4 linked regions of the Arabidopsis thaliana genome follow. The protein of the gene in region 2 interacts with the protein of the main gene of each other region in a pairwise test. Each region holds a gene or a part of one and is shown on either strand. Other genes may lie near its edges.

Evidence for each region.
Region 1: the proteins of AT1G48195 (region 2) and PRMT3 interact in a two-hybrid assay, tested with the Arabidopsis thaliana proteins (one large-scale study listed by BioGRID).
Region 3: the proteins of AT1G48195 (region 2) and AT5G40710 interact in a two-hybrid assay, tested with the Arabidopsis thaliana proteins (one large-scale study listed by BioGRID).
Region 4: the proteins of AT1G48195 (region 2) and RPL interact in a two-hybrid assay, tested with the Arabidopsis thaliana proteins (one large-scale study listed by BioGRID).

The regions. Positions count from the first base shown.
Region 1 is NC_003074.8:3,906,890-3,914,896, reverse strand, and holds PRMT3 (protein arginine methyltransferase 3), read right to left. Parts: upstream 4,417-8,007; 5' UTR 4,256-4,416; coding exon 3,938-4,255; intron 3,858-3,937; coding exon 3,390-3,857; intron 3,275-3,389; coding exon 3,177-3,274; intron 2,945-3,176; coding exon 2,866-2,944; intron 2,782-2,865; coding exon 2,542-2,781; intron 2,455-2,541; coding exon 2,287-2,454; intron 2,210-2,286; coding exon 1,775-2,209; 3' UTR 1,521-1,774; downstream 1-1,520. Other genes in the region: RBR1 (retinoblastoma-related 1), read left to right, coding at 1-112, 206-325, 408-540, 633-745, 854-969, 1,052-1,226; AT3G12260 (LYR family of Fe/S cluster biogenesis protein), read left to right, coding at 4,560-4,778, 5,463-5,645; TGA6 (TGACG motif-binding factor 6), read right to left, coding at 6,314-6,460, 6,586-6,831, 6,906-7,177, 7,467-7,518, 7,852-7,929. UniProt on the Arabidopsis thaliana protein: Protein-arginine N-methyltransferase that catalyzes both the monomethylation and asymmetric dimethylation of the guanidino nitrogens of arginine residues in target proteins, and therefore falls into the group of type I methyltransferases.
Region 2 is NC_003070.9:17,793,406-17,799,247, reverse strand, and holds AT1G48195 (Zinc finger C-x8-C-x5-C-x3-H type family protein), read right to left. Parts: upstream 2,914-5,842; 5' UTR 2,900-2,913; coding exon 2,651-2,899; 3' UTR 2,464-2,650; downstream 1-2,463. Other genes in the region: AT1G48200 (uncharacterized protein), read left to right, coding at 1,396-1,699, 2,126-2,178; AT1G48190 (Galactose oxidase/kelch repeat superfamily protein), read left to right, coding at 4,085-4,154, 4,191-4,352, 4,427-4,516, 4,627-4,688; AT1G48180 (target of trans acting-siR480/255 protein), read left to right, coding at 5,531-5,606.
Region 3 is NC_003076.8:16,291,785-16,299,114, reverse strand, and holds AT5G40710 (zinc finger (C2H2 type) family protein), read right to left. Parts: upstream 4,149-7,330; 5' UTR 4,025-4,148; coding exon 3,911-4,024; intron 3,752-3,910; coding exon 3,668-3,751; intron 3,585-3,667; coding exon 3,375-3,584; intron 3,271-3,374; coding exon 3,148-3,270; intron 2,955-3,147; coding exon 2,897-2,954; coding exon of another isoform or gene 2,769-2,896; exon of another isoform or gene 2,714-2,768; coding exon 2,640-2,713; intron 2,561-2,639; coding exon 2,475-2,560; intron 2,375-2,474; coding exon 2,305-2,374; 3' UTR 2,071-2,304; downstream 1-2,070. Other genes in the region: AT5G40720 (C3H4 type zinc finger protein (DUF23)), read right to left, coding at 1-843, 923-1,052; AT5G40700 (transcriptional regulator ATRX-like protein), read left to right, coding at 5,672-5,743, 5,976-6,604, 6,679-6,750, 6,838-6,889, 6,982-7,068.
Region 4 is NC_003076.8:391,665-400,777, reverse strand, and holds RPL (POX (plant homeobox) family protein), read right to left. Parts: upstream 5,212-9,113; 5' UTR 5,025-5,211; coding exon 4,305-5,024; intron 3,605-4,304; coding exon 3,204-3,604; intron 2,850-3,203; coding exon 2,789-2,849; intron 2,452-2,788; coding exon 1,906-2,451; 3' UTR 1,653-1,905; downstream 1-1,652.

The sequences.
Region 1 (8,007 bases), on a different chromosome or scaffold from region 2:
AAGGGAGAGTGTGTATTGTTTCTTCCAACATGTACTTGCTCAGCGGACTTCTCTTTTATTCAGTCGACACATTGACCAGATCATTCTCTGTTGCTTCTACGGAGTGGCCAAGGTGAGTAGTGTGATTCAAAGGGTTTAACTATATGTCATCTGGTTTACAATGGCTTCTCTTACACTTACACTTTTTCCATGAATCACCTTGTAGATATCCCAAATGAGCCTGACTTTCAGGGAAATCATATACAACTACCGGAAGCAACCACAGTGTAAACCATTAGTTTTCCGCAGCGTTTATGTGGATGCGTTACAATGTCGCCGTCAAGGGGTATATATACACTCTTAACCTTATGCTGAAAAGTTTCTTTACTCGGTGGAGAAGACTAAATTTGTGACAATGACTTGAACAGAGAATAGGGCCAGATCATGTTGACATCATCACATTCTACAATGAAATATTTATTCCTGCCGTAAAGCCGCTGCTGGTGGAGCTAGGTCCTGTAAGAAACGACCGGGCTGTGGAAGCCAATAATAAGCCTGAAGGTAGTTAAGAAAGGCCAGATACTTGTTAGATGTAAGCTTTGTCTATCAATTTAGTCCCTAAGTTAAATGATCGTCTTATTTTGGATTCACAGGTCAATGTCCCGGATCGCCAAAGGTGTCTGTGTTTCCAAGTGTTCCAGACATGTCCCCTAAAAAAGTATCTGCAGTGCACAATGTTTATGTTTCTCCTCTTCGGGGATCAAAGGTAAAGAAGATCATAGTGCTTAACTCTTTATCATGATATGACTAAGTCTTGAGGAGGAGGTAGGTGACAAGATTGTTTGGTTACCTTCCATGTGTTGTGTGTTTGCAGATGGATGCTCTTATTTCACACAGTACAAAGAGTTACTATGCTTGTGTTGGAGAGAGTACACATGCTTACCAGAGCCCTTCAAAGGACCTATCTGCCATCAACAACCGCTTGAACAAGTAAGTAGAAAAATCACGTCTCTCATCAGCTTCTTCCATAAAACCAATCACTGACCCAATCCAATTTCATCTGGTGTCACAGCAGCAGCAGCAACCGCAAGAGGACGCTAAACTTTGACGCAGAAGCAGGGATGGTCAGCGATTCCATGGTAGCAAATAGCCTTAACCTCCAAAACCAAAATCAAAACCAAAATGGAAGCGATGCATCGTCCTCAGGTGGTGCCGCACCCCTTAAAACCGAGCCAACAGATTCATAGATATCTCTCTCTACTTGCTACACCAACTTCTCTTCAGTTATAGCATCTGTAAATCCTTATGTTGCAGAGTTTGCTTTTATGTTTAGCTTTCTAGTTTATAGTGATCACCTCAGGCTATGAGCGGATGGATCCCTTTATTGTTTCTTTTTTCTTTTTTTATCTTAGTTAAGTCAGTCTTAATAAGCATTAATAAATGTCTTTTTCTTGTTCACTCTTTCTAACTGTGTTCGGTGTCCCATCTACTAAATTTATTTTCCACTTTAAAAAAAAACAATTTGTGACATTTACTTAACTTGGAACATATACAGTACAGTTAAGCAATTAACTATAACCAACAAATTGTCTGAACAATTGTCTGTCTTACCTTTTTAGCTCTCTATAAATTTACGCCGCAAAACAACACTTTATGTCGATTTCAGAATAACTTACTACTCCAGCATATTTCTCAAAACTTTCTCAATAGGTTAAATTTAAAACAACCTTGCAACTTATGAAAAAATCCTCAGCAAATTTGCCAGAAAAGAGTGTTACAATGGCTACAATCACATTCATAGATTAAATATCTGAACCGGCCAGTGACGCTTCTGACCCTTTGAGCTCAGCCCAGTAGCCTCTAACGAGATGTCTATGCTGCGATGCTCATGTGCTCGTGCAACACTCACACGCAGATGAATGCTTGAGGCGGGACACTCTTCGGTTCCGATGGCTTCTCTTCTGTCATTACCAGACAGAACCGAGGCCGGTGCCACTGAGATTGGTTCTTGAAAAGTTAAGATTGTCTGAGCCCAGTGTGTTGGGGGAGTGTAGGGTGATGTGGATAGTACGGTTGGGTTTTCCTTACAGAACCTACTGGTGAAACCTGTGTCAAACCACAACACAACACCATGGCACAACCTAGTTTTTGCTTCTGACTCAGTGGGCTCCAGCGTTGCCGTTGCTGTGAAATCTACTTCATCCGGTTTCATGGTAGCCAGGTCAAATGTCTAGAAACAAAGAAATTCAAGGAAATTAATTTCAAAGTTTTTCCTGGCGAAACCAAATAATGTGTGATCTTTCAAACCTGAAGAAGGGTAGGCTGTGTCACTAAATCACGCTCCGCTATAACGTCAACAATGGGAAGTCGAGTAGTGTCGTCATGTATCTCCTTCCCAATTGAAGACATGTCAAAGCCATAGACATCTTCCCAGAAAGGAAGACTTGTTGCACCTTTTCCAAATCCCGCAACAAACTGATCCAAGGAGAAAACAAGGGATAAAACTCATCAAGATGATTTCATGAAAAAGACAACATTTGAAGGGCAAAAGATAAGCTTTACCATAGTGGCCGTGTCAGGGAGGATTGCACCTCCAGGTTTCAACCACCGATCTCTTGCATAGAGCACAGAACTGAGCATTGACTCATATAAAAGGCAGTATCCCATCCATTCGCTGACTAACACATCAACACTATGAGGCTGAATCTGTATCGATTTATCTAGCTCTTCTACCATTGAGTGTGCAACTTCAAGTACCCCATTATGCTCGTTATCATTGAATACTTTGTTATCCTTCGCAATCTGCTAGAAACCAGGTAAATAATTGATATCTATGAGGAAAAAAGAAATAATGAAAATCTTGTAACAAGTAGAAAAAAAGGTAACCTTAGTTGCAACTTTGGCCATCTTCTCACTAGCTTCAACTGCAACTACCCTTGAAGCCCCAGCTTTAGCAGCAAAAAGACTGCAGACAAAGGATAAATGGTTATTGCATGCAAACTAAAAATAAGAAGTACCAAAAGTTTGACTTAAACAATCAAAGGATCTGCATATAGGCAAGAGAAATTCAAGGAAGCCTTCAGAATATGAAATAAAAGAAGCAAATAGAACCACATGTTTAAAGCTTCGTTTAGAGAATGAGAAGAAACCTAAATGAGATGGCCAATATAGAGTGAGAAAGATAACTGCAAACTCACCTCAATATCCCAGTTCCACAACCAACATCCATTACAACAGAGCCATTCAAGAGAGTAGGATTCTTCAAAAGTGCATCTCGGTATGCTTCTGTTCTAACCTGTTACAGACATCAGACACATTGAATAAACCTGACAGCTGATAGTCTTTCTTCATATGGTGCAAGTGCAGGTTAGTTAATTATGACACAATTCCAGAAAAGATTAGTGCATTACCTTATCACTTAGCATCTCCCTGTGAATGCCAAACGAACTATAAGATCCAAAATAGTTCTCATTCACCTTTCTGATGTTCCTATTAACTAGCCTTCCATCACAAACCTTTGGTTCTGCATCTTTCCCATTGACTATCAAATCATCCGCAGAACTTTGCTTTAGGCCATTGCAGTTTGAGAGCGAAGTTACATCCTTACTTCCATTTATATTGCATTTATCACTGTTCGACATTGAGCTTTCCCCTAAAGCCTCGACATCAATGCTTAAATCCCCAAGCTTCTGCAATTCCTCCATCACTTCCTCTCTGTCAAACGTGACTTCTTCATCTTCCTCATCATCTGCAAACGAGTACAAAAGTGAATCCTCCTGCCAAAAAGGCTTCAGATACTTCTCTTCATCCCAAGGAAACTTAACATCTTTGTAATCATCAGCTTCAATCTTCCAACTGAAACACATGTTCTCAGCCACCTAATTCATTAAAGGAACCAAATTTAAACAAAAACAATAAAATTAGAGAAACCAAAAACGAAGGAAGCAAAAACACAAACCTGTGAGCGAATATAGTTGATGAGCTTAAAAGAAGAGTAGAAATCGAGCTTCAATTCCTTTCTAACTCCATGAAAGTCGAATCCGTGGCTTAGACGACAGTGTTCGAAGAGTAAATCACAGGAAACGAAGTGAGAATCACAAAACAAACACAGAAAATCAGATTCCGAGTCGTCACCATCATCCTCCTCCTCCTCCTCTCCTCCTTCTATACCATTATCATCAGCTTTCCAGTCTCCCCAATCTCCTTCGTCTGAGTAATTTTCTTCTTCATCCTCGCTGTAGTTGAGAATCTCGTGCTTCACCATTGTCGCCGCCATGAGAAAGATAACGGCGCCAAGTTCTTAAGAGAGAGGTTTAAGAAAGCGGAGACACCCCGGCGGGATAGAAAAACAATTACCTTCTTACCCTTTTTTGTAAACCGAAACTAACCGGAAATAATTACGGCTATTCTCTACATCAGCTTAGGCCCATAAAAAGCCCATTAGCCACTCACTTCGAAACGACGTCGTCAGATAACTCTGGAAGCAATCAGATAGTCAGATGTTTGTTTCTCTATTCGGCTACTCATTTCTCTTTTAATCTCAGGCAGGAAGGTGAAATTTTTCGATTTCGTAGATCAAAATGGCGGCACCATTCGCGTTGAGGAAAATCGGTGTTCCTCCGAACTCGGCGAACCTGACGGAAGCTCGCCGCCGTGTTTTCGATTTCTTTAGAGCTGCCTGTAGATCTATCCCCACCATCATGGACATTTACAATCTTCAAGATGTCGTCGCTCCTTCTCAGCTCCGCTATGCTATCTCTGCTCAGATTCGGAATAACGCTCACATCACCGATCCTAAGGTACTTTCCCTTAATTTAACTCTGATTAATACGGACCCAGGTCCTATGCGATGGCGAAATTGAAAGCATTTTCCTTGTTTGGCTAATGCGTCTTGGTTGGCTACCAAACAATGAGCTGTTTTATATTTGTTAATCTGATCGTATCTGCTTTCTATTCCACTTTTGGCTTGGATTTATTGTCAGCTTTGTTTGAGTGTTGTTGAAAGCTGAAAGCTTACACCTTCTATCGTGTAGAATTTGTGCAAGTAGTTTATGTGAGCGGAGACTTTTAATTTCTTGGTAGTCTTATCTTATGAACAAAAAAGTGTCTTGTGAATTGGGTGCTTGGTGAAGATTTACTTGGAGCGAAAAGGTGGGAGCTTTACCGGTTACATCCTGCTAAAGCTGTGTTCCTTTCTTCTTTGCATTTGTTTTCTTTCATAGATGAGTCTGTTGTCGTCGATACAGTAAACCTGCTACAAAATTATATACTTCATATCAAAATGGTGTTCTTTCTCGTAGTATGACAGCATTGTTGGCATTTGGTACCAAAGTTAAGATTTGCTTATGTGGTGAATGGTTAGTTGTTTGTATTTTGAACCATCAATTCAAAGCATCTCCTTGAGTGTGGGTGTAGTGATCTCGGATTGGTTCTCTTTTAAGGTGATTTTAGAATGCAATCTGATGGTGGTCTTGCTTCTGCAGGTAATTGATCTTCTTATATTCAAAGGAATGGAAGAGCTGACTGACATTGTGGATCACGCAAAGCAGCGTCACCACATCATCGGTCAATATGTGGTGGGTGAAGGGCTCGTGCAGAATACTGGAAACAAGGATCAAGGAAAGACTGATTTTCTCAAGAATTTCTACACCAGCAACTACTTTTGAACTGGTGATGTTTACTTTTCGAGTTTCACATAAGCTGTACTGTTTATGCTGCTTCAGTTCTTGCTCAAGTTTGCATATGTCTTGCCAGTATTGTATTCTCGACATTTGGAAGAAGTCTTCTTCCTGGAAATAATTAGATCTTTTCATTTGTATGAGTATTTTCTCTGACTCAGGTTGGTTATACATAGTATTAGCCAAACCTCTGTAAGCTTTATGTGTGACAGTGTTTACTGGGCAATCTTGCTATGATTTCAAGATACACAATCTGCTCTCTTTTTTGAACTCTCAATATAAATTGATTTGGTCTGCTGGAGTTTATGATCATACAATCCAAGTTCCTGAAAGGATCCCATCTTCTGTCATGTTGGTAATTGCGACCTTACACTGATCACCTATCCGCTTTGAATATTCAAAGACCTATAAACATTCACTCTATAAAACTATGCAACCTGATGGCTAAAAATTACAACACACACAACACTCGAGTCTTGCGGACCTCAGGAAACCAATTTCAAAACCTGCAGTCTTCTTTCCCAAAATATTGCTTTTGGTAAGAATCTGAGAATGCCTTGCTTTGTGATCGATCTCTTGGAAGGAGTATCCCTGCCGATCTGAGTCATAAGATTATGTATAGGGCTGACTGCTGAGTAGAGCACTATTCTTCTGTTTCACTCTCTTGGCCGGGCAAGCCACAAGGAACTAAGAGCACGTAATCGAGATGAATAATCGTGTATAGCAAGAAGAGCACGAGCTGACTGACGTGTTGTTAATACTCGAAGCATCTGTTGTAGTGTTTGCAGCCTCAAGTTATCAGCCTGCCACCAAGAAATGCCCTATGAACTCCATAACAGACGGATTCATATATAAAATAAAATATTTATCTCTTTGTGACGATGAAAAGATATGGTATATCTCGATAACATCCACATTTCTAAAGTACCTGGCGTATGAATCCTTCGAGGGTGCCTAACTGCCCCATTGCCATGGCCATCTGACCCATGTAGCTCGCGACATTATCCGATGAACTGGAACCAAGAGTTCCACTGGATAAAGTATCAGCTAGGGATTGCTGTAAACTCTCCATCCCTTGAGATAAAGCATCTTCTGCCTGCTGCGACGTCTGCTGCAAGCTATTGATGCCCATTACCTGTCGTTCTGTCATGGGCTCTAGCTGATTCGCAAGAAGCTGTTGTGAAAACACTGCGACTCATTAAGTTGGCTGTTCATCAAAATCTCTCTATGGACTTGGAAAGAGCTTACCTTGAGAAGTTCGGATGAGCGGAACCCGCCAAGCCACAAGAAACATCGCTCAGCTGGTGTTTTCCACATTCCAGATAACAAGTGGAAGACATCATTCTTAGCTGCATTGCTCTTAATCCTGAAAAGCTCCTCATAGTGAGCCATCACTCCATCCACAATTATCCGGAGCTCAGTATCACCTGCATGAGCATTCAGGGCAGATCTCAGCTCGTTCATTTGCCTGTTCTTTTCTTCAAGCCATCGTGAGTGTTCTGCATCAAATGCCAAAGCCCCTGCAGAAAGGCAAGTATACTAGATCAAGAACAAACCCTTGCAGACCTAAGCTAACACCAGCGCAAACTATAAGAAACTTCAGTTTTGACATCACCATGACTTTAATTTCCCATCCAGATCATCACTGACTCTTGAAACCATTAACTCTAACAAGTGTAAGCATATTGCCATGAGATGACTTATGCTATCACCAATTCATCAACATATATGTATATATGCACTTATCTCACATAGAAATTTCAAATCAAAAGGATCAATCTCAAAACTAACAGAGAAGAAACAACCCACCATTGCCACCAGTAGAATGAGCTTGGTCTCCTGAACTTGAGATGAAAACTCCCTAAAATTGAAAAATATATATCCTTAAGTGACAAATACACTGTCATGAGTCATGACAAAGAATCTGATAAGAACCAGAATAGAAATTCTCTGTATGCCATCAACATCCGAATAAACAGACCAGAAGGACCTATTTCGAGAGAGTTACCAGCTACTTTTACCCAACTAAACTATGGATGACCCATAATTCTGTTACCTCCTCTACTTCAGCTAACCCAAGACTAGTACTAACTCGTAACTGACTGTTAGTTATAAGTTGAAGTAGCTTCAGCCTTTTATCTTCTTTATAAAGACATACATATCAGAATCAAAACAAATAAGAAAGTTAATAAACCTGCTGTCTTGCTCTTTGCAGCTCCTGCTCAAGTTGAGTCAGCTTTAATCGACTATTCTCCAGCTGCTGAACATACGCCTATGGAGGAAACAATAACATGCTTAAGGTAATGACAGATAGATATTCTTCTAGAGATATTACAAGGAAATAAGAGGA
Region 2 (5,842 bases):
GCTTAATATTACAAGGTAAAGGCACTTATGTTACCAACAAAAGCTAGCAAATAGTTTCCAAAAAGAAAAGATTGGAAGAATTTCTCTAAGATGTGCAAATGAGTAAGCTTGTGCATTTGGCTAATCATGCCGTGTGCACGAACATGAACATATTCAGACACAAATTTTCAGTAAATGGTGTTGCAAAACAAGATTTTCTCATAGTAATAACCAAAAAGAAGAAAACTTTCAGAGAACTTCACAGAGTAGTTATCAGTAAAAACAAAAATAAGAATAGTTATAAGGATAAGGTTTTTGAGCATTTACAAAAACAGAATTATGAAAAATCAAAAAAAATTCACATAAATAAAGCCAAATATCAGAAGAAGTACATAGTTCATTGTTCATCTACATGATGAACCGATCAAAATCTCAAACACCAACAACAAGAAAGAGACATTTTATGTTCCGTAGACCTAGACTTTTCACAAGTCAACGAGGTTTTAACCTAGGATACAGATTTCAAACTTGAAAAACATGAAATCAATTACGATATTCCCTTTAATCATCAAAATCAACCTGAAATTCGAAACCCTCGGTTCTTAAAAAAGGGTTTTTGACATTTAAGGAAAGTACCAAAAAGAGAAACTCGTAACAGAGGAAGAAGAAAAAGCTTTTATTTACCTTTTTCGCTTACAAGAAAAACTACGGAAGAAATTCTCTGTCCGATTCGAATTCTCTCTGTCAAGACTTCGATGGTGGTTTTAGAGACTTTAGACGACAATTTGAAAAAGTGTTAGTGTTGATGATGAATGATCGTCTTTAACACTTTTAAAACAAATATCTTAATGATCACTGTTGCGTACTTTACTTACTTGGCAAAAGTGTTGAAATACCTAAATACCCCTAACATTGTTTTAGAATTACAGTCATATCCCCAAAACAACCTTTAGTATTGGAACGGAAGCGATTTCTCTCTCGTCGCCGTCGTATCAAACCTCGCCGCCGTAGCCGTCAACGCATCTTTCATTTCGGGTGAGCCTTTCTTCGTTCTTAAACTTCGTTACTCATTCCGATTTAGCCTCCCAGATTCCTTGTTTTTCTTGCTTCAATTTCATTATTTGTTTCCTGGATTCGTTGTTTAGCTTATTGATCGATCTGATTGATCTCTAATTGTAAAATCAGCATCACCATCTCCACATAATATAGAGTATGTAGCCAAAATGACACCATTTGTTATCGATTCCAACAAAATTTGGTGATTTCATCATTTAACTAATGTTTGAATGTTCTTAGATACAACAATCTCTGTGTTCATATTCAGCTTTACCTGAGTTTGTTGTGCTCACAGTGCATGGTTTTGGTTGATAGTTGCTAATATGTATTCCTTTGACTGATGGATTTGACTACACAGGAATGGCGAACAAGATTGCAATGTTTCTCTCGGAAGCAATGAACAACAATGCTGTGATAAACACGTGTCTAGGAGTATCGTTTGTGGTTTTGGGATTGAGATCTGATAAACAGCAGAAGTATGTTGAGGCCTTAGCAGAGCAGAAGGAGTCACTCTTCAAGTCTAATAAGGCAATGAAACTCACCATGTGGGAGTGGAAACAGCAGCTCTTTGCTGAAGCTGCCTCTGCGGGTAATGCCGCGGTTGTTCCTTTGTCGACGCTTAAGGCCATCTATGGTGAAGTTACCACCACAACCAATCAATCTGGTGATTACTCTCAGCCCTCTCTTTTGCTTGTATCAGCAATTATCTGTATAGAATTGTTCTCTTAGATGTTTGTTTATTACATATCTATACAAACTAGAGTAGTCATGTTTGTCTATATGTCACTTGTAGAACAAACAAATACTTTCCCTAGATTTAACAACAGAAGAGGGCTTACTGGTTTGAGAATGTGTGGTTAGGTATCACTGTTTGATACATCAATTTACATCTGTGCAAGTACAAACTAGGCTAGATTGGTGGGGTTGATAAAGAAAACCTGACGCACGTATTGAATTCAAAGAGAAATGGGGTTAGAATCGATATGATTTAGAGTGTAACATGAAGGGAAATAGATATGAACATGATTAGAAGCCGCCTTTCGGAGATTAGCTGTGTGTTCACTAACTGGTTTTATGTTCTTTCTTCCAGGTGACACAGCCAAGGAAGATTCTAAAGTGTCCACTCCCAAGATCATGATATGAGAGGTTGTTAAATTTTTGGTAGGTTCATTTCACTTCAAATTATTCACTCGGCTAAAGTAAAGATTAGCATTTAGTCTCATCATTTGCATAAATTGCACTTGTAAACTAGTTTGGCATCTATTGTCTGTTGTTGTGATCTTTTTTTTTTGTACCTCCTGGTATGGACAAAGCTCCTAAAATAAGGTAAGACCCTCCTTTGGGTTGATTCTTAAGGCTTTCACTATGTACCATTAGTCCAAAATTTGGAGACGACAAAGCCTTGTTTGTTGGGTAAACTTGAAAAGAAAAATCCAATTTTGTTACATGAAATGAAAATTTGATACCATGGTGATTAACTTGATCCTTAGATTAATAACATCCTTTCATACATATAAAGAGTAAATAAAACATAGATATTAGAATATTATTGAAAATAAACACGAGATAAGGAATATCAGTTTCAAATTTATCATTTGCAAGTTGAGGATGATGGTTAGGTAAAATGGTCGAATTTACAAGTCGGACCGGATCTGCAAATGCCGAAGCGACTGTAATGCGGGCAAATGGCTTGACCAGGTCTTAATGGTAAGCCCTTGTCATTGAGAGTACATTGAGGCTCGCTCGGCGTTATATTCTTCGGGTGATGGTATTTGCAGTTTTGTTTCAGATAACAGTTTCCAGTTCTAAGATAATAGCTGCACTCTGGTTCGCCTGGACGTTCTGGGAATTTTTCTTCAGACATATTTTCTCTTCTCCTAGTATTATATTGTTTGCATGTACTTGTATATCTCTTCTACCTATAATCTATATATATTACCAGAAGAAAATCTAGCATTGAATACTAAAATGACATGTTTTGAAGAAAGATAGTATCATCTTTAATATTTATTGTTTTAGTTATAATTGTATTTAAACAAAATTATAATATCATGATGCTATATTTATATTTTTTCATTTAATTATTACTTAATTAATATTTAGTGGATTTTATTTTGCTAATATTTTAGATAAATACATTTTAATCATATAAATCTTCTTAACATAAACTACATGTGACATAAGTCGTTTTCTTAAAATTAGATTATTATTATTTTGACAGCAAAAACTCCACCTTTTTTTTTGAATATTTAAAAAAACTCCACCTTTATTAAGCATGTTCCTAAAATTAAAATATAAAAGTAATGAATACAAAAGTTAAATATGAAAATCACTAATAATGTAATCGGAGGCCGGATCGATCTGGTGACCCAATCACAAAACTTGTGAACCATTATTCGATCAATCAATGTACCGTGTGAGCCAAGGCTCTTTATTTCTAACCTAAGAATTTTCAGATTTAGGTTTTGAGGCCTATTAAGATTAAATGAACGGTATTTTGGTAAATGATAACTATATCTAAATTGATCGATCCCTAGACAACTCTCTCAAGAAGAAGTAGAAGAAATCAAAAGTTTGATCAAACCCTATGATAGAAAATGACGACGACAACGCAACTGGCACTTCCCTATGATTTGCTATTGGGCTGCATTGCACACGTCTTCTAGATTGTACTATCCTAATCTTTCCTTAGTCTCCAAGAGCTTTCGATCTCTCGTAACTTCACCGGAGCTTTACAAGACCCGCTCTCTCCTAGGCCACGCCGAGAGCTGTCTCTATTTGTGCTTACGGTTCCCTCCTGACACTAATCTAACCCTCGTTGGTACACTCTCTGCCAAATACCTAACCGAATGAAGAAGAATAATTCAAGTGGCAAAATTTACGTCCCAATCCTAATCCAACCATCTCCCACTTCTCCTCCTCCACAATCGCATTCCTCGAATCATATGGTTACCGTTGTAAGATGTACAAAATTGGCGGGGATGTGCCTTCTTCTTCTAGAGTCTCTGTCTTGGATTGGAAGTCTCACACATAGAACCAAACTTTAAGCATGCGGGTGGACCGGAGCTCCTCTTCCTCCACTGTAAGTCTACTTGAGGGGAAGATATATGTAGCAGGAGGTTGTGAAGATCGCAATTCTGTGGACTGGGTTTAAGGGTTTGATCCAAAGACTCACACTTGGAGCTCTGTGACTAGCCCTAGCGCGGTGATACGGAATGAAAGTGTAGCTGAACACAAAAGCTTGGGACTTGGTGGAAAATTCTACCTCTTTGGTTATGACTCAGATAAGTCTGCGGTGGTTTACAATCCCAAAGAAGGTAGATGGAACCCGGTAGGATTATATATTAATATAAGTAATGAAGTGTACTATAGTTGTTTTGTTGTGTGATAGACAACGTCTTGTTCTATAGGTTTCACGGACTCTTCCATTGGTATGACTATAAGGGAAACTTTTGGAAGCAAGTGAATGGTCTTGGGCCAGGTAAAGATGAAGACCAATACTAAAGCGACGTCATCTAAGGCACAACGGTCATCTTCAAAAAAGTTGGAAGAAAACGACGAAACAAAAACATAGCAAGGAGGTGATGAAAGTTGCTTGTACGGAGAAAGTAGCGATTCTCGCAGCCCTCGATACGTTTGACAACGCAAGATGATGACATCTGTCCTCTCTCTAGGGTTTTTTCGATTAACCCATTCTCTTGTCTATAAATACTACAATGTTCTACCGATTCCTTTTAGCTTCCTTTGCGTTACTACTCTGCTTCCTCTGCTTGTGAGTTTCCCTTTGTAAGTGCGATTAGTGTTACATTTTAGGTTTTTTTCTCTAAGTTAGGATTTTGTTTTGCTTTGTTACGGTTTTTGCCTTTCAGTGTGTGATTAGTGAACAAATGAGGAGCTTTTAGTCACGTATTAGGGTTTGTTACGGATTTTTGCTTGTGCATTTTGCTTTTTCAGTGATCAATGAGGAGCTTTTAGTTAGGTTTTAGCGTTTAATACATCCTCCTTTAGTTTTCTCATTATTTGGTAAAGAAGCTATCACATTGGTTCTCGATCTAGCCACATTTCTTTTTGTCATTAAAATATCTTCTTTTGCTATTTCTTCGATAAAAATGTCGTCTTTTTTAGGGTTCTTTGTTCTAAGTTGTTGGGATTTGTTTAGCTCTTGCTTTGGTATGTTACGGGTTTTGCTTGTGCATTGCCTTTTATTTTTAGTGTGATTAGTGAACGGTGAGGAGCTTCTTCGTTAGGTTTTAGAGTTTAATCCTCCTTTACTGTAGTTTGCTCATTCTTTAGTATATAAGCTATCACATTGGTTCTCGAATTTGCCACAAACGTCTCATCGATCTGTTTTTACTTGCCTCTGAACAATAAACTCTTTGTTCAAACCGCTTCACTTTGGATCCCTTCTTAGTTAATGTTCTTTCCATTTTCTCTGTTCACATTTCATTAATGTATTTTATTGACCTTGGAAATTTTCAGGGTTAAGTAATTGCAGATGGCACTCCCACCCTATGATCCCAATTTCAAATTTGCATTCTCTCTTGGCACGATTGCGAAACACCAAGATTACGGTAAAATTGCCACTCTAGAACATACTCATAAAAGTACATAGCTACTCTGCTTTGCAAGATGTGAGTGAATTGTGGCTGTAGAACTAGTATGTTGTTGAATCAATGCTTTGCCTCATTGCTTTAGTTTTAGCCTGAATATTAGTGCAAGCCAAAACTTTACCCATTAGGTTGATTCTGCTCATATTCTTACACCAATGTCTTAAGTTTTGTTCTTGTTGGCTATGATAACTTGTTTG
Region 3 (7,330 bases), on a different chromosome or scaffold from region 2:
TTTCTAGATTCTTGATCTCGGAAACAATGTCGTCGTCGCTGTTGTTGTCGTAGATGAACCACCGTTGAACGCCGATTCCGGCGTGATACATCACCCATTCTCGTAAAACGTTTGCTGCGTTTCGCGTCATGGTGCAAACACACGTTTCAAACGTTTTCGAGACTTTGATCCGACCCGGACGTTTAATTGGATGAGCTACAGAAGGAAGCATCCCACTTCCTTTGATCCTCACAGAAACTTTCACCGGTTGAGATTGGGCCCTTCTTGGGCCGTCTAATACTGTCAGTGGCGTTTTACAACGTACGATCTCTTGGGCCGCAGAGATAGCTTGTGCTCTAAGCAAAAGTTTGGGCTTTGTGAAATCCCAACCGTATACACACTCATATCTCGACGCGTCAGCAACCTTTCCTGGCCGTAGATTAAGCCCCTTGACAAAAACCACCGTGGAATTGTCGTCGTCGATCACGGCGTCGTACACCAGCCAATCCCATCGGTGTGTGAGCCCTACTTGGAGATTATAATCATCAACCCTCCATCTCGAAACGGCGAGGGATACAGTATTGCCACGAGGCACGGCGGAACACCGTACGATCTGACGGCCATAGTCGTCGGTTTCCACCGCGAAAGGAAGCTCTTTAAAAAGTTTAGACGAATCGTTTACGTCGGAGAAAACGCAAAAGAGGTCCTCTTTCGTAAAAAACCGAGAAGATGGAGGGTATTTTAGGAAAATCAATGTTTGGTCGGGAAACTCAACTGCTTCATGGATCGTGATCACCTTAACCACCGGTACAGAACCACGAAGAACTGCGTTGACCGAAGACCGCACCACCGGTCGAATTTTGCCTGATTTATACAAATATTAATTAGTATTAAGTAATAATAAATAAATTAAAACGGTTGTGATTAATTGTTGGATTAATACCTAAGAAGATGAAGAAAGCAGAGAAGAGAACGAAGGAGAAGACGAACAAAGAAACAAATCGGAAAAATCTTCTCCATGAAACAACGACGTCGACACTGCTTAAACCACCGCGTTTCCTACGGTTCTTCATTTTTTACACCGCCGAAAACGGCGGCGATGGCTGAGAATTAAATCCAAAGGAAAAAAGTAATTAGACGAAGCAAAATATTTTAGTTCTTTCTTAGTCTTTCTTTGTTGCAGGCTACGAAGATTTTAGGACGATAAAAATTTTCTGAAGGAATAGAATATAATCTATTTTTACCTTTTTAAAATTCTCTGATAAAGAAAAAAAGACAAATAAATATGGGGTTTAGGTTTTGCCTTTTTTAATTTGTGTGTTTCTTTAGGAATTTTAAACTTTCTTCCTCGGTGCTCAAAGACGTTTCATGGAAATTTACGAACTTTGATGTAGAAGACGTTTCATGACCGCTTATTGTGCTAAATCAACCGGTTCGACAGGTTTATCTATCTGTATTTCCTTAGAAAAACCAATAAAATATCTAAAACTCTTTGGTATTATTGTCACAAATACTTATACAAGCTCAATAATACAATACTATGTAGTAATTATCCACGTTATAGTACCGTATAGTGTGATCTGTCGTAGTAATTTTCATCCTAATTAAGAATGTTTTTAATTTTTCGATAAAACATTCGAAGAGTGTTTAAAATATGCAGGAACATGTATGAGATTTGCCCAAAAGAAGAAAAAAAGCAAAAGAAAAGTTAGGATACCTTGCTTGTTATATTTCACGTCATTATTTATTTACCTATTTTAAGTGCTTTGAATTTATCCACTTTGTTTTTTTGTTTATCGTTGAAGTTGAGATTGAAAGAGACGAGGCTATGATTCGATTAGTGTCCTGACTTTGAGTGATATTGGACTTATACTGGGAAAAAGTAGGTTCCACTTATCTCCTTTTTTTTCTTCACGTCATCTCTAACGTCTATCCCACGTTGTCGTTTTGGTTCTTCCAAAGATATCTGTTTTGTAATTTGGCCCAAAAGGCCTTTCATCAAACGGCCCAATTGATAAAATGATCGAGATAATCATGGTTGATCAAGACTCAAAAGTCTAAACCAAATAATTAAGAATGATACTAACAAATATGAAAAATGAAATTAAGTTGAACCTTTGAAATGTTTTAGAAATGTTAAATGCGATTGTACCGCTCTAGTTGCAGTAAACACTATTGAATTCTAAGTAACAATATTGGTGTAAGTAGTGATATAATTGTAAGGGATGTTGCAAAATGCACTAATCTGATCCTAATTGTAATCATCTTGCAAAGAAAAAAAATGTACTCTCTCTCAGCCGCCATTAAAGCTAAAGCTTGATATGGTTAGAAGGGTTTCTTCTTCAGACCATTGTGTCTAATACGCTTCAAATCTTGAGATCTTCTCTTTAATCCTCTACAGATTAGTAAAACGTAAGAACAATGAGTTCATGAGGGCCTTTTTCGGTTTTAGAGTTGTAAGGAAATCTGAAACAGTATTTTAATGTTGTTGTTACCTTCGGAACAAATAGACAAAGCTGTAATAGAGAAGAAGCACTACCAAAACGATGATGGAGAAAATAATGTACACTATACTCCTCTTCTGCAAAACATATGACTGAGATTAAATGAGATATGATATGATATAATATCATTTACAAAAAAAGGGTTTATTATGTTACCTTTGGTTTTTGAGATAAGGGCTTTGATCCTCCTGAACATGTATGTGCATCGCAGAACTGACGCAAGAAGAAATCTGCAGTTTTAAAAGTTAAAACCCCCAAAAAAGGGTGGTGAATCTCTATGGATCATTAAAACCCCCCACGAAGAAGTCTACAATTGTAAAGTTTAAACCCCAAAAGTAGTGGTGAATCTTTATGGATCAATACAAGCAAAAACTGTTGAAATAAGATAGTAAAATTCAGGAAGGTTCTAATACCGTGAAGACGGTTGGCTGATGAACCTTTATTTACCGGAAAACAACTATTAGCCAAACTCTGCAATGCAACCACACCAGAGCAGATAAGCACGGGAACACAAGAAACAGAACGAAGACAATATGTTCAGAAGTGTTCAAATCTTTCAGTGAAATGTTCTTTGCAATTCTCAGAAGCTACAAGGTTTCTTTGAGTATTAGAGTCCAAACTTGTCATATGATATTGACCGAATCAAAACTAAAAAAATATGTACCTCACATAAGTGCCGGTTTTTTGCAGCAGCTGCAGGATTACACTTGGACTTAAGCCGAGCTGTGTCTACAACAAGATCACAATGCAACGCTCCACAAAGATCCGACAGACATTTACCATGACTCTGGATTCAAAAGCACATAAGTTATGAATCGCTAATAGACCCCAAAACAGTATGAATTGTCACAGAAAGATGGATCATTTTAACAATAATGCATCAGTATATACCGCATTAAGTAAATTGTAATGGCGCGAATCGAAATGCTTATCGAGATACTTCTCTTCATAAAAAGCCTTTTTGCAGAATCCACAACGCCACTCATTAATATCTGAACGCAATTTGTGCTCTTCTTGTTCTCTATAAATGTCATTGTCTCGATGAACTCTACAAGTACTCGGTAACTGATACCGCTCCTTTTCCACATACGGCATGAGATACTTCACAGCAACAACAAAGATCAATGAGAAAACTCTACAGATTTGCATAAAAAATAATAAAAACCACTGCTTTCAATTCATACCTCTTGAATGATTTTCCAAGCAACTCTGCTACGTTCTCTTGAACAATGAATCTCATGAAAACCGTCTTCAGGATCTTTAAAACCCTGTAGAACAACAACCACAAAGCTTCAAAATTTGAACAAAATCTAGAATTCTAAGTAAATCCCAAGTAAGCCAAATCGATTACAAACCCTAAAGTGATACAGACATTCTTCTACACGAAATTTACAGTTGAAATTGCTGAAAAACCCTAAAAATTTCACCTCGAGATTTTGTTGAATTATCGAAGTGGGAAGTGAGAATCCCCAAAACTGAGAAGAGATGAAGAAGCAGAGGAGAATCCAATGAGATGGGCATTGAGAATTCGATCTTCCCATCTTCGCTCACACCAAAAACAATCAAAGAAGATGATTTCAAATTTTGGTGTAATATATGAAAAATGAAACTTTAAGGGTTAAGAAAGAAAAATAGTTTGGGGTTATTTTCAAAACATAAGAATTTATAGGTGGTGTTATTGAATATTAGTCTTTAATGGATTTGGATGTTTTTTGTATTCAAGGAAAAAATCCAATGTTATTTAATTTCACTAAAAAATATGAAGATACAATAATGAATTTTTTTTGTACACATTTGGTTAGAATTCATTCAAACCTTTAAATGCTTTAAACTATTTTCTCTTCAATTGATTTTTTAATCTTTTTTTGAATAATGGACTATACCCTTTTCCAAAACTTCTAAATATTTTGAAAGGCCACCAAATGTTGGATTTTTAAATAATTATTTAAGGCTTTACTCTGAAATTTTCACTATTACTTTGTCAATTTTTTTTTTAATTCTATAATGAATAAAATCTTTGAAATTTAGAAATATGAATTAAAAAAAACGAACCAAAACTTCAACTTGGTTTTGGTTAATCTCTAAAGAAGGAGAAAGAATTAAAGTTTCAACGATGACAAATAATCTAATACATTTTGTTTATGAGATATAAAAGCGATGATAAAATCTTTTGTTTGACCAAAAAAAGTTTTAAAGTAAAACGCTAAAAGAGTTAATATACATTTTTGTTTATTTTTATGGGAGAGAAGCAATCAATATTTTCAGCTATATGATTAAATAATTGTTGGATGCAAAGGAAGAAAAGTAGTTGCTTTTGTGATGGGTTGAAGTGTAATGTATTCATTCTAACAACATCACTTTTGTAACTCAAAGCTGTTTTATTTGGAGTTACAAAAGTACACCTACCGTTACATAAACCAACGCTAATCACTTACTAATTAGTTTTCCCTAATAAATCGTATTTATTTCTTCTTCTTTCTTTTTTGGCTACTTTTCTCCAAACTTATCTACAATTTTATTTCTTTAGTCTTTCTAATGACTCTAATATTCACACCCTAAATCAGATTCATTTTTTTAACCAAAAAAAATCAAATGTAAGCATATAAGTACTAATATAAAGTTTTTTTTAATAGAAAATCAGATTCATTTTTTTTAGTTAAAACAACTAAAATAGTTTTTAAACGCGTTGATATATCTAAAAATTAAAAAAAAAAATTACTCAGAATTCAGTTTAAATTACAGAGTTTTTTTTCCCAAAAAGCATTTCACATTTTAATATTTCATCACCAGAAAAAATTCGTTTTCTCTCTTGTTGCAATTCTCAGCCACTTCATATCAACAACTATAGCAGAATCATTCATTCTTGTTAGACTTCTTTGATACATAATTTATTCTCAGTTTCTCAAATTCCTATCAAATTTTCAAATAAAAACTCAAAATTGAGTATCTTCTTTATTTAAAAAGATATTCTGAGTTTTATCTGTTTCGTGGGACCCAGATCTCAACCAAAGTTCTTCAGATCGTCTCCTAAAACATGTGTTTAGGGCTGACAAATAAAAGTTTTTAAAATTCGAAAAAATTCTTTTATAGCCGTTTCGGTGAGAAAACCCATTAAAACGCTTCGATTTTTATTTATTTCCTTTTGAGATTCCAACGAAGAAGTTCTCGATTTTGAGGTTTTGTGGCCAATGGCTGAATCTGCTGTTCTGTTTCATTCCTATTCGTTCGCAGCTCCTCCTTCTCGTAATGAATCTCATGAGGTTAGTTTCATTCTCTCTATGATTCCTGGGAAAATTCGATGGTTTCTGGGAGATTTTGAATGTAAAGTTTCAAACTTTAGGGTTTAGCTTGATAGATATGAATCTTGATGTTGATTTTACTCAAAGTATCTGAATTGGGTTTGATTGGAAACAGTTTGATTCACCAGAAAGTTTATAACTTTGGTTTTGAGTTTTGGTAAGATTCTGATTTTGATATGTTGGATTGTTGCAGGATAATACGATGCATGCGCTTAGTCAATCAGTTTCATTTGGTAGATTCATGACAGAGAATCTTGAATGGGGGAAATGGTCAAGTTTTTCGCATAAGAAGTATGTCGATGAAGCTGAGAAGTTCTCTCAGCCTGGATCTGTTGCTCAGAAGAAAGCTTTCTTTGAAGCTCATTACAAGAAAATAGCTGAAGCAAAGAAAGCAAAAGCTTCAGATCAATCATCTGATTCTGACCCTAAACAAGAACCAGAAAGTGTTGCGGTGTTGCTTAACACTTTGGAGACATTGACTAAGGATGAGGTTAAGGAAGAAGAGGGTGATGAAACTGAGTTAGTCTTGAGTAGTAGTGAAGAGTTGGTGTTGAGTATTGAGAAAGATGATGAGCCAGTAAGAACAAATGTTGCGGTTTTGGAACAAGAAGATGATTTGCAGGTTATTCATGATGATAAAGAGAAAGATAATCACTCTGAGGATGGAGAGTTGGTGAAGAAGAGTTGTTTCGTTGGAGAGAAAGAAGAAGAGAGAAAATCCGTAACCAAGAACTCATCGGTGGTTAGATTGTCTATAGAGAAATCAGCAACTTCTGAAACTCCGGACAAAGCAATGGAGCTTGTTTTCTCACTGAAAATAAGGTAACAAAAGCAGCTTTGATTGTTTTGTCTAGAATTTGTCCTCCATCTGATTGTTTTATGTTGTAATTTTGCAGTGGAAAACCGATAACTCATAGTTCGTTGACGAAAAGCGAAAAACCAGTTCGTCCTAGATTCGGTTTCTTGAGGTAAGACTGATTTGTTATCTCTTCTTGAGTCAATGTGTATTTGAGTTGATGTTCCTATCCTAATTGTATACTGTTGTTGTGATGTAGCTGTTTGATGGGAAACACTAAAACTCAAGATCAAAAGCTGACTATAAAGAAGGTAAGATTTCGACTTTTAACAAAATCATGAGAAGAAGCCTTTTCTCATTTCCATTAGTAATATGAATACTGACACTAGCTGTGTTTATTCAGCAGAGAAAGACGAGTAAGAAACCATTTCTATGTCTTTGCTTCAAACCCGAGATGGCTGGGGAAACAGAAGCAGGAAGACAAAGGTAGAACACCAAAACACAGAAGAGGAATCTCTGAAAACACTTGCAAGTAGAAAGATTGATCTGTCCTAGGATTCAAGAGTGGTAAAAAACTAAAAAAGAGAATCTTTGAGTGCACAGTAGCAAGAAAAAAGTGAATATCAGAAGAACGTTTGTTTCTTTTTTCTGGTATTGTATCTTTGTGAACCTTTTTGTTGTATGTATGTATCTTCTTCATCTTCAATGAAAAACCTTTCTCCTTCTTTCATAGTCTTTATACTCGATTCGAA
Region 4 (9,113 bases), on a different chromosome or scaffold from region 2:
AACGAAAGTCTGGGACTATGATTTGTAAAACGATTAATCATCTAAAAGTTTTAAAAGGAGGATCTCAAGCTCTAGATATAGGTAGGGGACAGGGAAAACAAAATATTACTGGCATAAAATCATATTTTAGACTATATGTATCAAATCATATCCCACTTCGAATGACTAGACCAAATTATGATTGATGGATATATTCTTCACTAAGATAACTAACCTGTTTCAAATGGATTTAATTCGATGCTTCTTCTTTCTCCAAAACCGTTAAAGCTAAGTGTTTTCTTGAGTAAGGAAGAGGTAAACTGTATCCCGAGGATTAAAAACTATACATTCGCATATGTATATGCTTAATTGGTTTTAAACCTCAGGATGCAGATTACCCGTTCATCATCAAGTACCTTCATCTTCTTCTTCGTGTTGTTGTTGTTTTATGTTAATGGTGAGAATATATATAGAGCTGGTGAAGCTTATAAAAATAGTAATGGTGCAAAAGAATTATACTTATTCCGAAGGTTTAATGCTTCTGGAACAAATACTCACACAGAAAGACAATATCTTTAGTTGTCCATGGTTTCTTATATGTTCTCATATTTATCTCTAGACTCTAGTTCAGCATATAGATAGACCAATATAAAAATATATGATATAACATGTACGGTTGACGTGGCTAGTGTCTAAGGTTGCCACTATATGTATTCATGAATAATTCAAGAACAAATCGAATAGTATCTCTATTGTTTTTAGAAATTTAACTAAAATTTTTACATGAAACGTGTGGAGAGTGTTTTTCCGCATCCACATAAAGGAGACGGATTGTGAGAGATCAAATCATGAGAAATTGATTCTTTGTAGTTTGTTCTTTAGGAGCCAATGATGGCACCTTCTTAAATTTATTTTTTACTTTGTACCTTTTTAATATACAAATAGTTTTTTGAAAAAATTATTTGACTGCTTTTATATTCTTCTCTCGGCTCATTACATGAACCTCTTCTCAATTATTGAATTTCATATAATTCAAAACATATTTGCTAATACAGTTTATGTTTACATCTTATTCTATATAGACATAATCCAAGAATATAAACAAAAATGGTGTAAACAAACAAAAAGGCTGAGAAATGGTTAGGATCGGAGAATAAATTCTACAAAGAAAAAGATTTACTTTTTTCCCATGAGAGGGAAAGGTTATGTATATATATATATATATATATATATATATATCTTTCTTGTTTTCCAAAAGCAAATGGAAAGTTATTTGAAGCAACAAAAGCACAATTTTATTTTCAATACTTTTGCTCTCATGTGATCTTCAAAAGCCAACGTATTAGTACACACTGAACATTAAACCGAACTCATTTGTTTTGTGTGTTTGAAATCGGCTCAAACTTCTTTTATGAGTAGAAGAATTCAACAATGTTGAGCGGATCGGAGTCAAAACTGCATCCGACTCAAAAAGATAACTCAAATAGTCTGAAATATTTCAAGGTTTAGGGTTTGAAAACATGTTGTTTAGTCAATGTTTACTATCAAGTAAAACAAGATAGTTCAAAATATAATATCAACGATCAATGATAAACATCTTAATCGCGTTCTTCAACGATAATTGTGACATACATAAAAAAAAAAAAAGCACCATGTTTTGAATCATGCCAAAATATTAAAACAATGATAGATGCCTTTTATATTTCACCAAGACATAGACAACTCTAAAGTCTAACCCATGTTTTTAACATTGGTTATTGAATCCAATTTCATTTCTTAAAAAGATAACATTTGTGAAAGTAAGCAAACAACAAAAAAAGAAGAAGAAACATTCTAATATACACATCATATGCATTTCAATTCCCCCATATCTTCTTATACATACCCAAACGTCAAACATATTTTTTCCTTTCCACACAAATAATCTCAACCTACAAAATCATGTAGAAACTGATGATTACTACCACCAATAAAATCTCTCCCAAACTGACGATTTTGCCCTTCATACCCACCACCACCATCGCCACTACCACCATCAAGCCCAAACCTCTGAGCAGTTGTCATCGGAAAAGGCTCCGGTAACCCAATCTGATGATGAAGCCCTAACGTCAAAGACACTCCTCCGTTTGTGCTGCTATTCATCACCGGCACATTCGACGACCCAATTCCATACGAGAAACCAACCGCACTACCGCCGCCGCTCCCACTGTTTACATAGCTGTTGTTGTTGTTTGTGCCATGAACGTCGTCGTTTCGTGCCCGTCTAGGCGGAGATGAGTTGTTAGGTCTTTGCTGTGCCGAGGACGAAGATGGGTTGTTGTTGCTGTTGTCAGGGAAGACGGTGGTGCTAGTACGTTCGTCTCTCCAAGAGGAAGAAGAAGATCTCTGAGATTGTCGAGTCTCCAGCATGTGAATCTCTTCCACCATCGGCTTCCAAACCCTAACTCTTGCGTTTATGAACCAATTCGATACCTAAAATAACATTTTACCATAATAAATTAATAACCCTCAAGCGATAGAAAATCCCTAAATTATTCATTATCACCAACGGATAAATTTTCAAAAACAAAAGTGTAACACTTATTCAAACCTAATAAACCAAATTATAACATAGTTACTATACTAATGATATATGTGAAAAGATTTAAAACATATAATTATTGTCCGACAACAGAAACTCATTTCATAAAAGCATATATTTATCTATGTGACTATGTGCATGCTTAATTAGCAAGAAATTTGTTAAATTGTGAACAAGAAAAGATGGAAAGAGAAAAAAGAAGAAGACTGAAGATATCAGAAGTGAAACCTGATTTCTGGAGAGACCTGTCTGCTTAGCCAGCATGAGTTTGTCTGTATCTGTTGGATAACTGCAACAAAAGACACAGACAACAACAATTTAATATATCATTGTATATACTAACATACACATATATATAGACACATAATTACGCTTGCAACACGACATCTCCAAGTTTGGGAAACAAACAAGCAGTCGACATGTCCCATCTAAAACATACTTCCAAGTAAAAATACACTTCGATACACACATATTTATTCACACTGACACACACATATAAAGCTATTGTTCACAAGCATATATATACAATTTGGTTCATGATCAATTAAACGTTTGCATTTAGTTTAATCAATTGTTGGAACCAAGTTCAAACTCGAATCCAACAACTTTCAAAAGCATTTATATGGCGAGAAGGGTTACTTACGGATGCAAGAAATGATCGAAGAGCCAAGCCCTTAGAACAGTAACAGCACGTTCGGGTAGGCCACGGTGCGGTCTCCAAACAGGAGCATGATGATCAGGAAATCCATGTCTTTGACCAGCAGAACATAAGCCTCTAGAACTATCACTTCCTCCAAATCTTAAAGAATCAGTCTTATTCTCAGAGTTCATCGGATGACCACATTGTTGTTGTTGTTGGATCTTGTTGTTGTGGCTGAATTGAAGCTGGTCCGTTATAGCATTCTTCAAACACTTGAAATGCTTAGACAATGCTTTCAAGGCTAAGTTAGCGTACGGAGCAGCGTGCCCGAGACCTGCAACGCATTCGAATGATCCCATCACAGCTTGTAGCTGCTCATAGTATTGCTTATACCTCTTGTAAACCTTCAAAACGTCACATGGAAATGTTTTTAGATTCCCCCACTTACATAATAAAATGGGTGATTATAAATTTATACATTATTTCCTCACTCAAAAAGTATGTTATATACCTCGGAATAAACTAATTAAAATCTTTAAGTCCCTAGCTTTAAGATCATATAATGCATATATTCCTTTCATAAAGAAGACGTTCTCTTTTTATCACTTAATGTTTATACCCCTAAGATTTGAAGAATCTAATTCACAAATTCAGATCAAGAGCTAAGGAAGCTCTATATAAAGTTACTTCCTCAAGATAATATTATCCTTACTTTAGTATAACCTTAAAATTCTATTAAAAATCAGCATGAAGATGGCAAGCTTGTAATTTATATAATGTATTAAAATGGACGCTATAACATCATCTATTCATGCAAAACGTAGGGAACATTAATTTAATTAACATATGGTATTATAATGAATTAAATAAAATATCATATAATTTTAAAATGGCTTTGAAGGAGTTTCATTTTCCAAGGAAGATCTTTTTAAGAGACATATCATTTAACACATTTTGTCTCCAATTCCAAAGGACACCGACCAAAAACTGTGAACATTTAACACAATAATTCACATACTTGTAAGAAAGTATAGACAATAATTAAAGAAAATTTACAGATTTCAATAATTTAAAGAGATTAGAATTGATCATGTTATTGTATACCTCGTCGAGCATGGAGATGAGTTTTGATTTTTTCTTTCCATTATCTCCTCCGCCGCCATCAGAAACACCGCAGAGATTCTCAACCGTCGGATCAAAAAGCAGAGAAGAATCATCGTCGTCGATGACTTTGTCGGTGTAAATCCCACGACCCACATTACAAAACTCATCAAGAAGCATCTGTGCTGGTTTCAAGAACCTTGATCCTTTAAGAATCGACGCGTAGCCCGTGAAAGGTCCGAGAGGACCAGAGCTTCTAGACGCGATGGTGACGGCGGCGGCGTTGGCTTCACCGGCAGATCTACAGAATCCGGAGTTAACAACACCGGGAACGACTAGATCGTAAGCGAGTCTAGGGTGAGAGGACAAAGATAGAGATAGAGGCTCGGGTTTGAAGACAAGAACGTCTCCGGAAGAAAGTCCGGCGTTAAAGGAATGATCTCCGGCGACGGCGACTGCGGTGGATGAAGAAGAAGAAGGGCCACCGAGAAATCCCATGAAATTACTGTAGCTAGGGTTAGATATGTGGTTGTTGTTGTTGTTGGAGTGAAAGCCACCGGCTGCGAGGAAATCGGAATCAGCGAGAGGAAAGACGCCACCTCCGCCGCCGGAGGAAGGAGGAGGAGGAGGGTGAAAGTGGAAGTGGGAATCGAGAGATGGAATACGAAGTTTGTCTCGCCGGCTTTGTTGAAGAACATGATAAGGCTCGTATGCATCAGCCATGGGAAAGGATGATGTCGATGAGATGCAGAAGAAGAAGAAGAAGAAGAAGAGAGAGAGAGAGTAACAGTGTAAGAGATAATGGCGAAACGAGAGGTTAAGAGAGAGAGAAGCTCTTTTGGTGTCTTTTTGAAGCACGATCAATATGTATATCAAATTTTTCTTTATATGACATATTTTGAAAACCTAAAATATAAAATATCTAATGTTTATAAGACTTGGAGGAATTTAGTATGAGCATTACAAATTTGGTCAAGATTCATCTTTTTGGTGTTTGTTACTAAAGCCAATTCAATGCTCTCTCATAGGTCATCCGTAGAATGGTGAATTAAGTTTAATGATTGCGTGGGATTTTAGTATTTTATATGGTTCTGTGAAATCGTGATTTAGTATTTACGTTATTACACGATTTCGTAAAACTGAAATTGAAAAGACATATTCTTTCTTGAATCATTTTTTCGTCTTAGCGTCCTACAATTTTTTTGTCATTTTTCACTACCTGTTTTGTAGTTTTCTCTTATTTTTGTTACATTTCGTTTTAGTCACACAACTGTTAAAAGTTAATCGTATATATACTGAAGTCCTAAAAATAAATCTCATTATTTTTTTTTAAAACGGGTATTTCAAACGATGGATACATAGTAACTCGATATACTTTCCTCATCATGCAAACAAATTCGATCTTTATAATATATATATATATATAAAATACTGATGAAAATCTTTAACAAAAAAAAATACTGATGAAAAGTGAAAAGTCCCGGGTTTGGTGGGAGAGGCTTTGGGGAATCAAGAGAAGGCGACCGGCTGTAACCGGTGACACTGGAACTGGTTCTTGTACAAAGTGTTCTGTGTCTCAGTCTTTCACATACGTACTGACATTTCTACAACTTTTAAGTCTTCTTTTTGTCGTTTTTCTTCTTTTCTTTTGCTGGAATAAATACCTTTTTACGCTTAAAATATTTAGTCACTCTATTTTTATTCGACAATCATACATTCACACTAATCTCCATAGTTGTAGGCTTGTAGCTATAGTACTAAAAGTAGGGATATCAAAATGGATAACCCAACTCTACTCAACTTATAATCAAATGAGTTTAAGAATAAATGAGTTATGGGTTGACCCAACTCATTTTGTTAAATGTGTTGGGTCAACCTATAACTCATTTAATTTAATGGTTTGAGATGTTAACCCATTTAAGTAATAATTTAATTAATTATTATTATAAAACAATAATAAATAATTATCATTATTAATTCATTATCATCAAACTTAAGATATTTACGGATTTTATTTTTTACAGGTTTACGTTTTAGGTACGGAAAATCACGGATTTACGTTTTGACAGGAAAATTATAGTTTTTTACGTTTTTGGCCGGAAAATGATGGGTTTACGTTTTTGGCTGGAAAATTTCGGGTTTAAGCTTTTCGGCGAAAAAATCTCGGATTTACGTTTTTGGCGGGAAAATCACGGATTTACGTTTTTGACGGAAAAATCATGGGTTTACGTTTTGGGCGAAAAAATAACGGATTTACGTTTTTGGCGGGAAAATCTCGGGTTTACGTTTTTGGCGGGAAAATCACGGGTTTACGTTTTTGGCGGGAAAATCACGGGTTTACATTTTTGGCGGGAAAATCACGGGTTTACGTTTTTGGTGGGAAAATTACGGGTTTACGTTTTTGGCGGGAAAATTAAGGGTTTACGTTTTTGGCGGGAAAATCACGGGTTTACGTTTTTGGCGAGAAAATCACGGGTTTATGTTTTTTGGTGGAAAAATTACGAATTTATTTTTTCTCAATTTCATCGCTTGTATATTTAAGAAATTTGGAAAAATATTAATTTTATTAAATTTGTTTAGATGTGTTGGTTAAACTTAAATTGGCATTGGTTTAGAGATTTTAGTTGGTTTAATTCAATTTTATAAAATTTGATGGGTTAATTGGGTAAACCATTGAAACCATTAACCATTACAACCCAACTCATTTTACTCATCAAACCAATTGACTCATTAACCCATTTGACTCATCAACTCATTTGAGTCAAAATTTTCAACTCATTAGGGTTCATGGGTTGAGTTGAGTTGAGTTGACCCATGAATTTTGACCTATTTTGACATCCCTAACTCAAAGCATGGATGGTATGGTATGACCCGTAAGATTATACATTGAGAACAATCAAATTCTGCAGTTCATATTATATAATTAGAGAAATCACAAAGATTTAAAAAGATGCCTAGATTAATTATGTTAACAAATTTATAGTCCATAAATTAATCAAAATTGTTGTGAATTGTGATCAACCATATTTTATTATAACTAGAACAATCACAATGATTAAAAAAGATGCATAGATTAATTATTGTATATAACATATTTATAGTCCCTAAATTAATCAAAATTGATGTGAATTCTTATCAACCATATATTTTATGTGTTGGATTACATACGTCTGTGAGAGTTATTTGTAATAATTTAAAAACCTAATAAATAATTTGTCACAAAAACAAAAGCGAATACCTTTGCAAAAAATATGTTATAAGATATGCCAGAATATGATTAAACCGGGAAAGTAATTTCGACTGTACTGTAATAATCGTGTTTGAAATAATCATTAGAGGATATTTCCGTTTGCATGGGAAATAATGGGACGTAAATCATTTGAAAAAATGTGTTTCGAATACTAAGCAATACTTTGCGTTACAATATTTTATATTATATAAAAGTATTTCCTCTTTTGGCTAAGATGGACCACAAAAATTGAAAAAGAACCAAGGCACTCCAATAAAGTATTACAGTAAATTAAAGTGCACGTAATTATTAGTTCTTCTCTTCTCTTCTTTTTTTTTTCTTTTTTCTTTTTACATTGCATCACGGGTAACCACACGAAAACATTTTTAAGCAATCGCTCCTTTTTCACCTTCTTGGCTGAACATAAAATAGTATATAACCCAAAAAAAAATTACATATATTTTTCATTATCTGCCTCTATAGATGTAATGCGCGCTTAGATTTGCGACTCTAATTTTAGTAAATTCATAATAATTGTATCATTTCAATTTTCTAGGTTTTTTTTCTTAAATGTTAGTATATTGCACAAAAATAACTTCATGGGGGAGCCCTAGTTACAAAAATAATGGGGATGGTTTGGAATTTTATTAAAACAACATGGATGTGTAAGGCTTGAAACCCAAGTGGTGAGAATTGTCTGGCTGATCGAGATTTTGCAGTGATAAGGGTTGTAGAAAGATTTTGTCATGTGATGTTGCTTTTTCATCCAAAGGCGAGTGTATGTATATTGAGTTAGAGGTGAGGATTAAAATGATGTTGAAGATAAGAAACCATCCCTTATTTATTTGTTGTGGGATATTCATAATATGCCCCCAAGTTCTCAAACGGCCTCGAGACAGCATTCTAATCCAAATAAGGATCCGTGTTTCAGAATCGTGCCAATCAACTTCATGAGGAAGAGGATGTTATAAGGAACAGAAGATAAAATATGTGAAAACGAATCAAGAACTTAATTTCATAAACGAATAAACGATGATCCGGTTTCTTGAGGTAGAAGTGTCCTCAAGAGAGGTAAACACTTGTTAAAGTGCTTGAAGGTCAAGAGTTTGTAGTCGCCCGAGCTCAATCGCGACTAACCTCACATTAACTTTGGTGTCTATGGCTAGTCCTGGTATTAGCAGACCACTTGAATTTAGTACCTAGCTAACGGACCTATTGCAAAACTCTGCAGATTTACCATTTTTCATTTTGCACTGAGGGAAGAGTCTGAGCATCGCTTCTCAACTTGCACAACTCCTCTTCATTTGGTCGTTTACTATTTTGTATCAACATTTTACCTATTTTGTATCGAAGTTCATAAAGGTTAAAATAATAATGCGAAAACTATTAATTGCTTGGTAGGTCATAGCTAAATAACATCCCAACCACAAGAACTATTGAAATTAACTTTTGGACGACAACATGCATAAATATATGTAAAAATGTTATACACGATAATACGAAAGTGTCACATCACGAATAAAAATCAATATACCAAGTAATTACTTTTTACTAAAAAAATAACTATAATCGGCACATGTTTT